Linked DNA regions of Tamandua tetradactyla. The protein of the gene in region 2 interacts with the protein of the main gene of each other region in a biochemical or structural test. Links are inferred from orthologs where the notes say so. Each region holds a gene or a part of one and is shown on either strand. Other genes may lie near its edges.

Region 1 (3,909 bases), on a different chromosome or scaffold from region 2:
CCAGCAGAAAGGAAAGACCTACCGACGGAAGGAGACGAAGACGGAAGGAGGGAGGCGGGGCCGCGGCGGCGCGGCAGGGCCAAGCCGAGGGGCGGGGCGAGAGGCTCAGCGGGGCGGGGCTGAGAGGCTCCGCCCCTGGCGCGCGAGGGCGGTGCCGCGAGCGGGTCCCGCTCACCTGGCGCTGCGCGGCCGGCCTCCGGCAGGGGCATGGGGAGAGCGCTGGGGAGAGCAGGCAGTCTGTCTGCTCCCGAGCTCGGCCTTCGGCACTTTCCCCCAGGTGCTGGCAAAGGGGGCGTGGCATTACTTGTCGCCCCCCAAACTCCCTACCTCCCTTGGGCGGAATCGGGCTTCCTCGGGCTCGCCGCTAGGCCATGGGGGGCGACGGTGCTCCCGGGACCCCAACCTCGAGTGGCTTTCAGGGGATGCCGAGACGAGCACTCAGGGTAGACCGAGGTCTCTATAGATCACGCCAAGCTAACCGATCAATGCACCTAACGAAAGGAGGGTTATGTGTGAAGGCGTGAATTTCACCACAGGACTCGAGGGTTTAAGACAGTATTTGTCTCATCGGGGATCTTGCAGCTGCACACCTTAACTGGGCTGAAGGACAGCGTCTGCCCTTATCTTTGGGGGGAGCGAGAGTTTGGGACTAAACTGCCCCCCCCCAATGCTCCCCATTCTTTCTCTCCTAGGGTTTTTTCTACTCCTAAAGTGCTTCTCCCCCTGCTTTGGACTTCTTTTCCCCTTTACCCTTTGGGTTTCTTAAACCTCCTCACCTGCGGAACCGCCCTCTCACCTTTGTTTCCGGGTTCCCCAGCCCCGCCTCGGCAGCCTTTCGCAGCCGGAACCGCTCTGGCCCTCCCTCTTCTTCGTACCTGTCTTCTCCGCATCCCCTCAGGTGCTTTTCTTCGTCACCAGCCCATTCTCCCTCCGACCCCAGCTGACCGCTCTCCTAATACACCTACATTTCCTCTTCTTGCGCCGCGCGTTCTCCCTGGCCCCTCCGACCCCCCGCCTTCCCCGCTCCCCCGGACCAGCGTCGCGGGCGCCCAGACCCTTCCCCTGCGCATCTTCCGCGGCGAGACTGGCGGGCGGCGGGGACAGCCGGGCGGGTGGGGGAGGGACGGCGGCCAGCGGCTCACTCTAACCCGGAGGTGCGGCCCGACCGGGCCTGCCCCCCGGGCTCGCGGATAGGCGGAGTCGTCGCCTGGCCCGCCCCTCCCCGCCGGGCTCCGCCGCCGATTGGCCCAGGTGCGTGTCGGGTTGGGCGTCTCTGCCCGCCGCTCGCCCGGGGGAAAGCAGCAGGGGCGGTTGAGAAGTGAAGTCTCGGCTGGACTTTGGTTCTCGCCAGGAAATCGGCGGTGGCTGCGGTTTGCGGCGGAGCGGAGCCCGGGTGGCCCCCCGCTCCCTCGGCGGCCGCGGCGGGCGGGCTGAGGCCCCGGGAGCCCAGCGCCGCGGGCAGGCGCCTTTCCCGTGAGTAACTTTGCTGACCCGTCCGCGGGGTCTGGGCAGCCTCAGGTGTGGGGGCCGGGGCGGGCCGGGGCGGGGGAGCGCCGTGCCGGGAGCGCCCCGCAGCCTCCCCCGAGGGCGGCACCGAGCCGGCCTCACTTCGACGGTAGTGTGCGGCGCTTTTGATGGTTGGGGCCGCCGCCAGGCAGGCGCTTTGGGGCTTCGGCCACCGTGTTACTGATCTGCGTCTTTTGCTTTTTTGGTGAGGGAAGAGGGGACCTGAGTTTTATCCTTCTCGTGTTTGTGTGTGTGTGTGTGGTGAAATGTGGGGCACCAGCTGCCCCCACAACCCATCGCTTGCCCCTGGGTAGGCATGAGGACAGCGCTTCCCCTCCGCCCAGCCTGTTGCCTGTTCCCCCGCCTTCCCCTTCGGGCTGCAAAGGCTGGGAGAGAGGTTTCACGTCTTCGAGGTGGTGATTTCAGAGGACGGATCTTGATTTGGAAGCAGTTCCACCCAAAGCACGAGTCAGGAAATGCATCACTCGTTTTTTCAAAGCTTTATGCCACGTTTTCAACCAAGGGTTTTTGACTTACATGGAGTGTGTCTTCTGATATTTTAGTTTATATTTAAGATTGTTGGCCCAGATGTTCGTACCTCCCAGGAGCTAAAGAAAACTCATGCCTGGAGCTTAACTGTATAGTTTTTTAAAATTATTTTTTAATTACAGAAATCAGAAACTAAGTTGAGTCAAGGCAGTGGCAGCGCAGGAGGTGAAAACAGTTGTTGGCTCCCGTTCATTGAAACTGCCTTCTCTCTACGAATTTCACATTCTTACAGTAGAAGTACTTAGATGTAAATTGGCCTTCCTCCCAGGACAGATTTTGACTTTTCTTTTGGATGCACTCTTTCCAAGCACCAATGAAGCTGGATCTCAGTAGATCGATGTTATTTATTCTGGTAGATTTGATTCCCATCCCTAGGCCTCCTTTGGAAAGTGTACTTTGGCAGGTAAAGAAGGAAGTGGGAAATCTAGTATCACTTTGGCCTGTCAAAGCTTTGTTGAACCATAAATAACAAAGTTTTTTTCCTTTTTAGCCTGCCCAAGTCGCGCATGTGAGTTTTCCCATAGGGGTAGAATGTAGGCCAAATCCAGCCAAGGTAGAATAATTCTACCTTTAATTCATTCCACTTGTGTGCTATCATTCCTAATTCTGTATCTCGTTCCTTTCCATTTCTCAAGTTTTAAATTTTTCATGGTTGATTCATTTGTCAAAGAATAGTGTGCCTATTGCCTGTCAGATACTGACCACAAACAAAGTTTGGTCCTTGCCCTGAGGTTGCTCCTAGTTTTGGAAGCAAATAACATACCTCGAGTCCACTAGGGCCCTGAAAATAAGTTGAACTAGCTGCTATAGAAACATAAAAGCGGGAGGAAATGCCACCTGTAGTTTGTCAGGGAAGACTTCACCTAGGGTGCTTACCTATCTTTTGAGAGTGGGATTTTGCTAGTATATTCTAGGCAGAGGTACTTAAAACCTATAGGCCACTTGGACATGCAAATCTCTTTAGGGCATTGCACCTGAGACCTGCATATCCTTAGTCTGACTGAAGGACAGACAGGACCTGTCTGGAATTGGAGTTGTCACAGGCTTAGTTGTTACTCATTTAGGAGTACAGAGCACTTTACCTTGCTAACAGGAGGCACTCGCTATTTATTGGACTGATTTTTCACAGAAACGTGAAGGGTTTTGTCAACCACGTTAAGAAATTTGGACTTTATTCTGTCAGTGATATGGAGCTGCTTATTTTCTGTGGAGAATGTCGTGATAACATTTGCATTCCTGACAGATGTCTCCGCAGTAGTCTGAAGGATGGTGAGGGTCCAGATGGGAAGTAGGGAAACAGAGTGGGAGGCTGCCATAACATAGAGGTTAAATGCAGTGATTTGAAACCCGCATTGCTTGGGTTTGAATCCTGGCTCTCTCACTAACTCTCAGTTTCTTATTCTCCAAGTTTGGAGAATAAAACTTGATAGAACATGTGCATTGCTTAGAAAAGTGCTTGGCACCTAGCAGGCACTTAGTAAATGCTTGTTGTTATTCCAGATGAAGGCAGTGGCTGTGGGGATGATGTGGGATTTAGGAGGTTCTAAGTGGATGGACTTGTAAGTGACTGGATATGATTAATGAAAGAAGGAGGATTCCTAGCCATTTTAACTTGAGGCGTTGGAGTGTACTGGTTAAGCTGGCTGTAGGAGTCAGAACAGGGTTAGAATTCCAATTCTACCACTTACCACCTGAATTATCCTGATTTAGCTTTGGTTTCCTAATATCTAGGAAATGATCATAGCACCTTAACTAGTACGGTGTGCGGATCAAATGAAATTACACATATAATTCTCTTGGCAGAGGGCCTAGCACATTCTGAGTGCTCAATAAATATTAGTTGTTCCTTCAGTG
Region 2 (3,901 bases):
CACCCCAAGTAATTCCCTCTAGCTTGCAGATGAACCATATTAGGTCCACTGTAAGGCCAGATTCAGAAAAAAAAAAAAGCTGATATGCTATCCTGGGTCGAGGAGGAGGGGCATGCTGATAGGGACAATACATAAAGGATGCCTCAAGGATGTTTGTCCTGCAGCCCAGGATGAAGGATGCATTGAGATAGTTCACAAATTTTGTATTAAAAAAGTATTTGGTTCACACCATTTACCAGTATTCAGAGCTCGGCAGGGTTAAGTCCTACTTGGTAGCTGCACAAACCCATTACTATCAGGATCACGCTGGGCCATAAAAGAAGAGAGCCCCCAAAACGTCCAAATCGTCCATCTTATCACTCTAACCAATTGTCTCTGTAGGGCCAATGGTGTGACGTATGTTAATGGTTCTACTTTCTCTCCTCTCCCACTGATGCAAGAGATCTGAACCAGCCTTATCCTACATCTGAACAGTGAGAGTCACATAAATGAGGGCAGATACAGCCATCCTTGAGCAGTTAGCTGCCTGGGGGATGCTTATCATCCCCCAGTCGTTCTCAAAATCCACACCTTCACACATAAGCAGAGTCACTGGACTGAGTCCTGCCAAAATTGGGAACACTGACCCTGGGCAGGTCCTTGTTACGGATCTCATAGACTGACTTTCTCTTGGCCTGGGCCCCTCGCACGGCCAACTTGATCTTGCGCCATCCCAGGTGGTTGAGTTCAGCCAGGTTGAGCACAACACAGATGCCACTGACAGCAAACATGAACACTAGAAAGACTGTCTTCTCAGTAGGCCGGGATACATAGCATTCCACCTCCTTGATGCAGGGGTAGCGGTCACACTCATACAACCCTGGGACACTGAAGCCATAGAGAAAGTACTGGCCTACCAGAAACCCAATCTCCAGGGCATTTCGGAACACCACTTGGATAATATAGAAGCGGGAGATGCCCTCCTGCCGTCGGAGCTTGGATCGCGCTGCAGTGCGCATTCCTGACGGGTGTGGCGCCAGCTCCTTGACCTCTAGACAATCTGGCTCTGTCTCCTTGCTGGTGTTCTCTGTGTTCTGCAGCACCCCATTAACGATGGCATTTTGCAACTTCTTGTCTTCTCGTTTGCCCCCGCCACTGGCCCCACTCCCAGTTCCTCCAGGACCCCCCATGGACTCAGGGGGGTCTCTATCCAGGGCTAGAAAGACAGTAGAGTAGCGGCGTTCTCGTTGCTTGGCAGACTGGTGCACAGAGTAGGTGATGAAGCAGAGACTGGGGGTACACACCATAATAATCTGGAAGACCCAGTAACGTATGTGGGAGATAGGAAAGGCGCGATCATAGCAGGCCTGGTTACAGCCCGGCTGCAGGGTGTTGCACACAAACATGGTCTGCTCATCATCGTACACCGTCTCCCCCACAATGGCCACAATGAGGATCCGGAAAATCACCACCACGGTCAACAGGATCCTGAGCAGGGGAAGAGGGAGGGAGAGAAATTCTCATGGGCTGAATCACTGGTTTAGGAAAGCCCTGCTCCTCCCTTCTCTGCTCTGGTGCTCACTGGGTTCCTTGACTGGGGAGCTGTCCGCCCATGAGTGGTACTGAAATAGAAATCTGGCTAACTGGTCTGTCTCTCTCCTTTCTGGTACACTGGGAATACTTCATAGTACTACATAGGGATCCCAAGTATAAACAGCTCCACATATTGGACACGGTGTTTACAACAGACAGAGTTCATCTATATATCTGGAATGTACACAGAGGCACAAAACACATCTTTACCTTAGATATGGCAAATGCACATGGAGCACCTGTACAGAGAATGCATGTTTCAAGATTTACACAGTGTGTGTATATAACTATTCCACGTGTTTACTTTATTCTCAATATGAATATTGAACCTAATGCTCTATAAAAACAGATATCTATGATTATATATACATAGGTAATTGGGTGTGTGGATTCTTGACACCGAAATTTTCATGGCCAAATAAGTATAGCATAATAAACATTTGTTGGGAAAAGATACAGCTGCTCCAAAGAGCAAATTCATCTCCCCATTTGCCCTTCTCTGCCAAATACAACCTACCTTTCTGGGAGATTCCATTTAGGGAAACATATGGAGATTGGCTCTGACTCTGGAGAGTGGGGGACCAAGACTGAGCCAGCAAATCCCTTTCTGATGGGGAAAGAGGGAGTCCCTGGCGGTGCTCCATACGGAAAGGATGAGGAGATGGTGTAGAGTAGCCAGAGGAGGGTCATCCCTGCGCGTGGGACGATCCCTCAATGCCGAAGACACATGCGCACGAAGAGAGGACTAGAGGGCAGAGGACGGGCTGGGGGCTATGGGGCTCGATCAGGGACGTGAGGAGGGACTCCACCCCCTGGGCCGCCCGACAGGGCCCGCTGACAGCCGGCTCAGCGCCCTTACCTCCCGATCATAGTGGAGTGCTGCTGCACGGCGGCTTCCAGCAGCCTCTCCAAGATGGTCCATTCCCCCATCGCTGTGCATCCGGAGGCAGCAGACAAAGACTGGGCAGCACCGGGCACGTTCCCGCTTCTGGCCCCTCCCCGGGCCGCACCTCCCGACTGGGAGCGAATTGCCCCCCAATTAAAGAAGTAAACAAAATTTTAAAAAATTTAACCAGCAATCCCCTCTCCCTTTTATTGTACTTAGAGGAGGAAAACGGGGAAAGAAATCCAAGCGCGTCCCGACTGCTGGGGCAGCTGGCGCGGTCCCGAGAGCCGGCACCAACCTTCGGCGCCGTCCGGGGGCAGGTCTGGAGCCCGAGGGTGCCCCGGGGAGGGGCGGGGCGGGGTTGGCAGCGCGCGGGGTCCGCGACCTCTCACCCGCCGGAGAGAGGTTTCTAGGCGCCGCCGTCCCCCGGGGGCTAAAGGCCGGCGGGGAGGATGCGGGCACTAGCCCCCCACGCCTGCCACTTTAGTGGGCACCTGGAGCTCCCGCGCTGGCTTCTGCGAAGCCGGGGCGGAGCGCGCGGAGCCGGCCGCCGGGCTCGGGAATCCGCGGCCGCCGCCTCTAATCCGCCCTTAAGTAGTCTCCGCCTGCGTCACGCCAGGTCGGCGGAGGGGAGCGGAGCGCCGCGTGCGGCTGGAGCTGCGTCGGGGCCCGAGGGGCAGGGGACGCGCGCGGGGGCAGAGGAGGCGAGAGTCCTGGGGGCCCGGCGGGGAGTGGGACGGCTTCGAGAGCAAGTACCACAGAGCCCCTTGGGGCTTGTCGGGGCGCCCAGGTAGCCTCACCTGACCGCCAGCCCCCGGCAGGAGGAGGGGGAGCCAGAAGCAGACGCGCGGGTGAGTGGGGAGGGGCGCGAGGACGTAGGGTGTCTGCTCCCGCACATTCTGGAATTCCCTCGCTAAATGGAGATGCCTGCTCGAGGCAGGGAGAGCAGGGGTGACAAACAGGGCGCTCTTAAAGCTCGCTTGGAGAGGACTGCATGACTGAGAGCGGGGCGGCGGCTCCCTGCCTGTGTGGATCCGATGCTGGGGCGAGGAAGGCTCGATGGGCGTCCACTCAGGCTAAAGCATGGATGTAGGTGTGACGCTGCCTCTAAGGTGGGTCTAGGTGTAAGGGTGACCCTAAACAGGTGCCTACGGTGAGCAAGCGGGATGGTGGTGGCGAAAGGTCTCCCTTCCCAAGGCGTATCAAGACGCTCCGGTATTTTTTTGTTCCTTTCTTTCGACTGATGGGGTGGAAGAGCTGTCTAATCTGAATTTAAGAAGGCCCAGTACTGTGCTGGCAGAAATAGAACGGCTCACCAATCTCACCCCACCCGCCTTTCCTTATCGGGTCTTTGCTTTCTCTCCTCAATCGGCAGTTCCTGGTTTGAGTTTTTAAATTTACACGTTGTTGTCAGTTCTGTCTAGAACAGCTGCTTAATTGGTC

The links.
Region 1: the proteins of GJD2 (region 2) and LNX2 form a complex in vitro, tested with the Homo sapiens proteins (2 studies listed by BioGRID and IntAct, with this or other methods). The link is inferred for Tamandua tetradactyla from reciprocal best matches to the Homo sapiens genes GJD2 and LNX2.

What each region holds. Positions count from the first base shown.
Region 1 is NC_135330.1:192,862,299-192,866,207, reverse strand, and holds the start of LNX2 (ligand of Numb protein X 2), read left to right. Parts: upstream 1-879; 5' UTR 880-898; intron 899-1,274; exon of another isoform or gene 1,275-1,473; intron 1,474-3,909.
Region 2 is NC_135340.1:47,825,125-47,829,025, forward strand, and holds GJD2 (gap junction delta-2 protein), read right to left. Parts: upstream 2,503-3,901; coding exon 2,432-2,502; intron 1,468-2,431; coding exon 573-1,467; downstream 1-572. UniProt on the Homo sapiens protein: One gap junction consists of a cluster of closely packed pairs of transmembrane channels, the connexons, through which materials of low MW diffuse from one cell to a neighboring cell.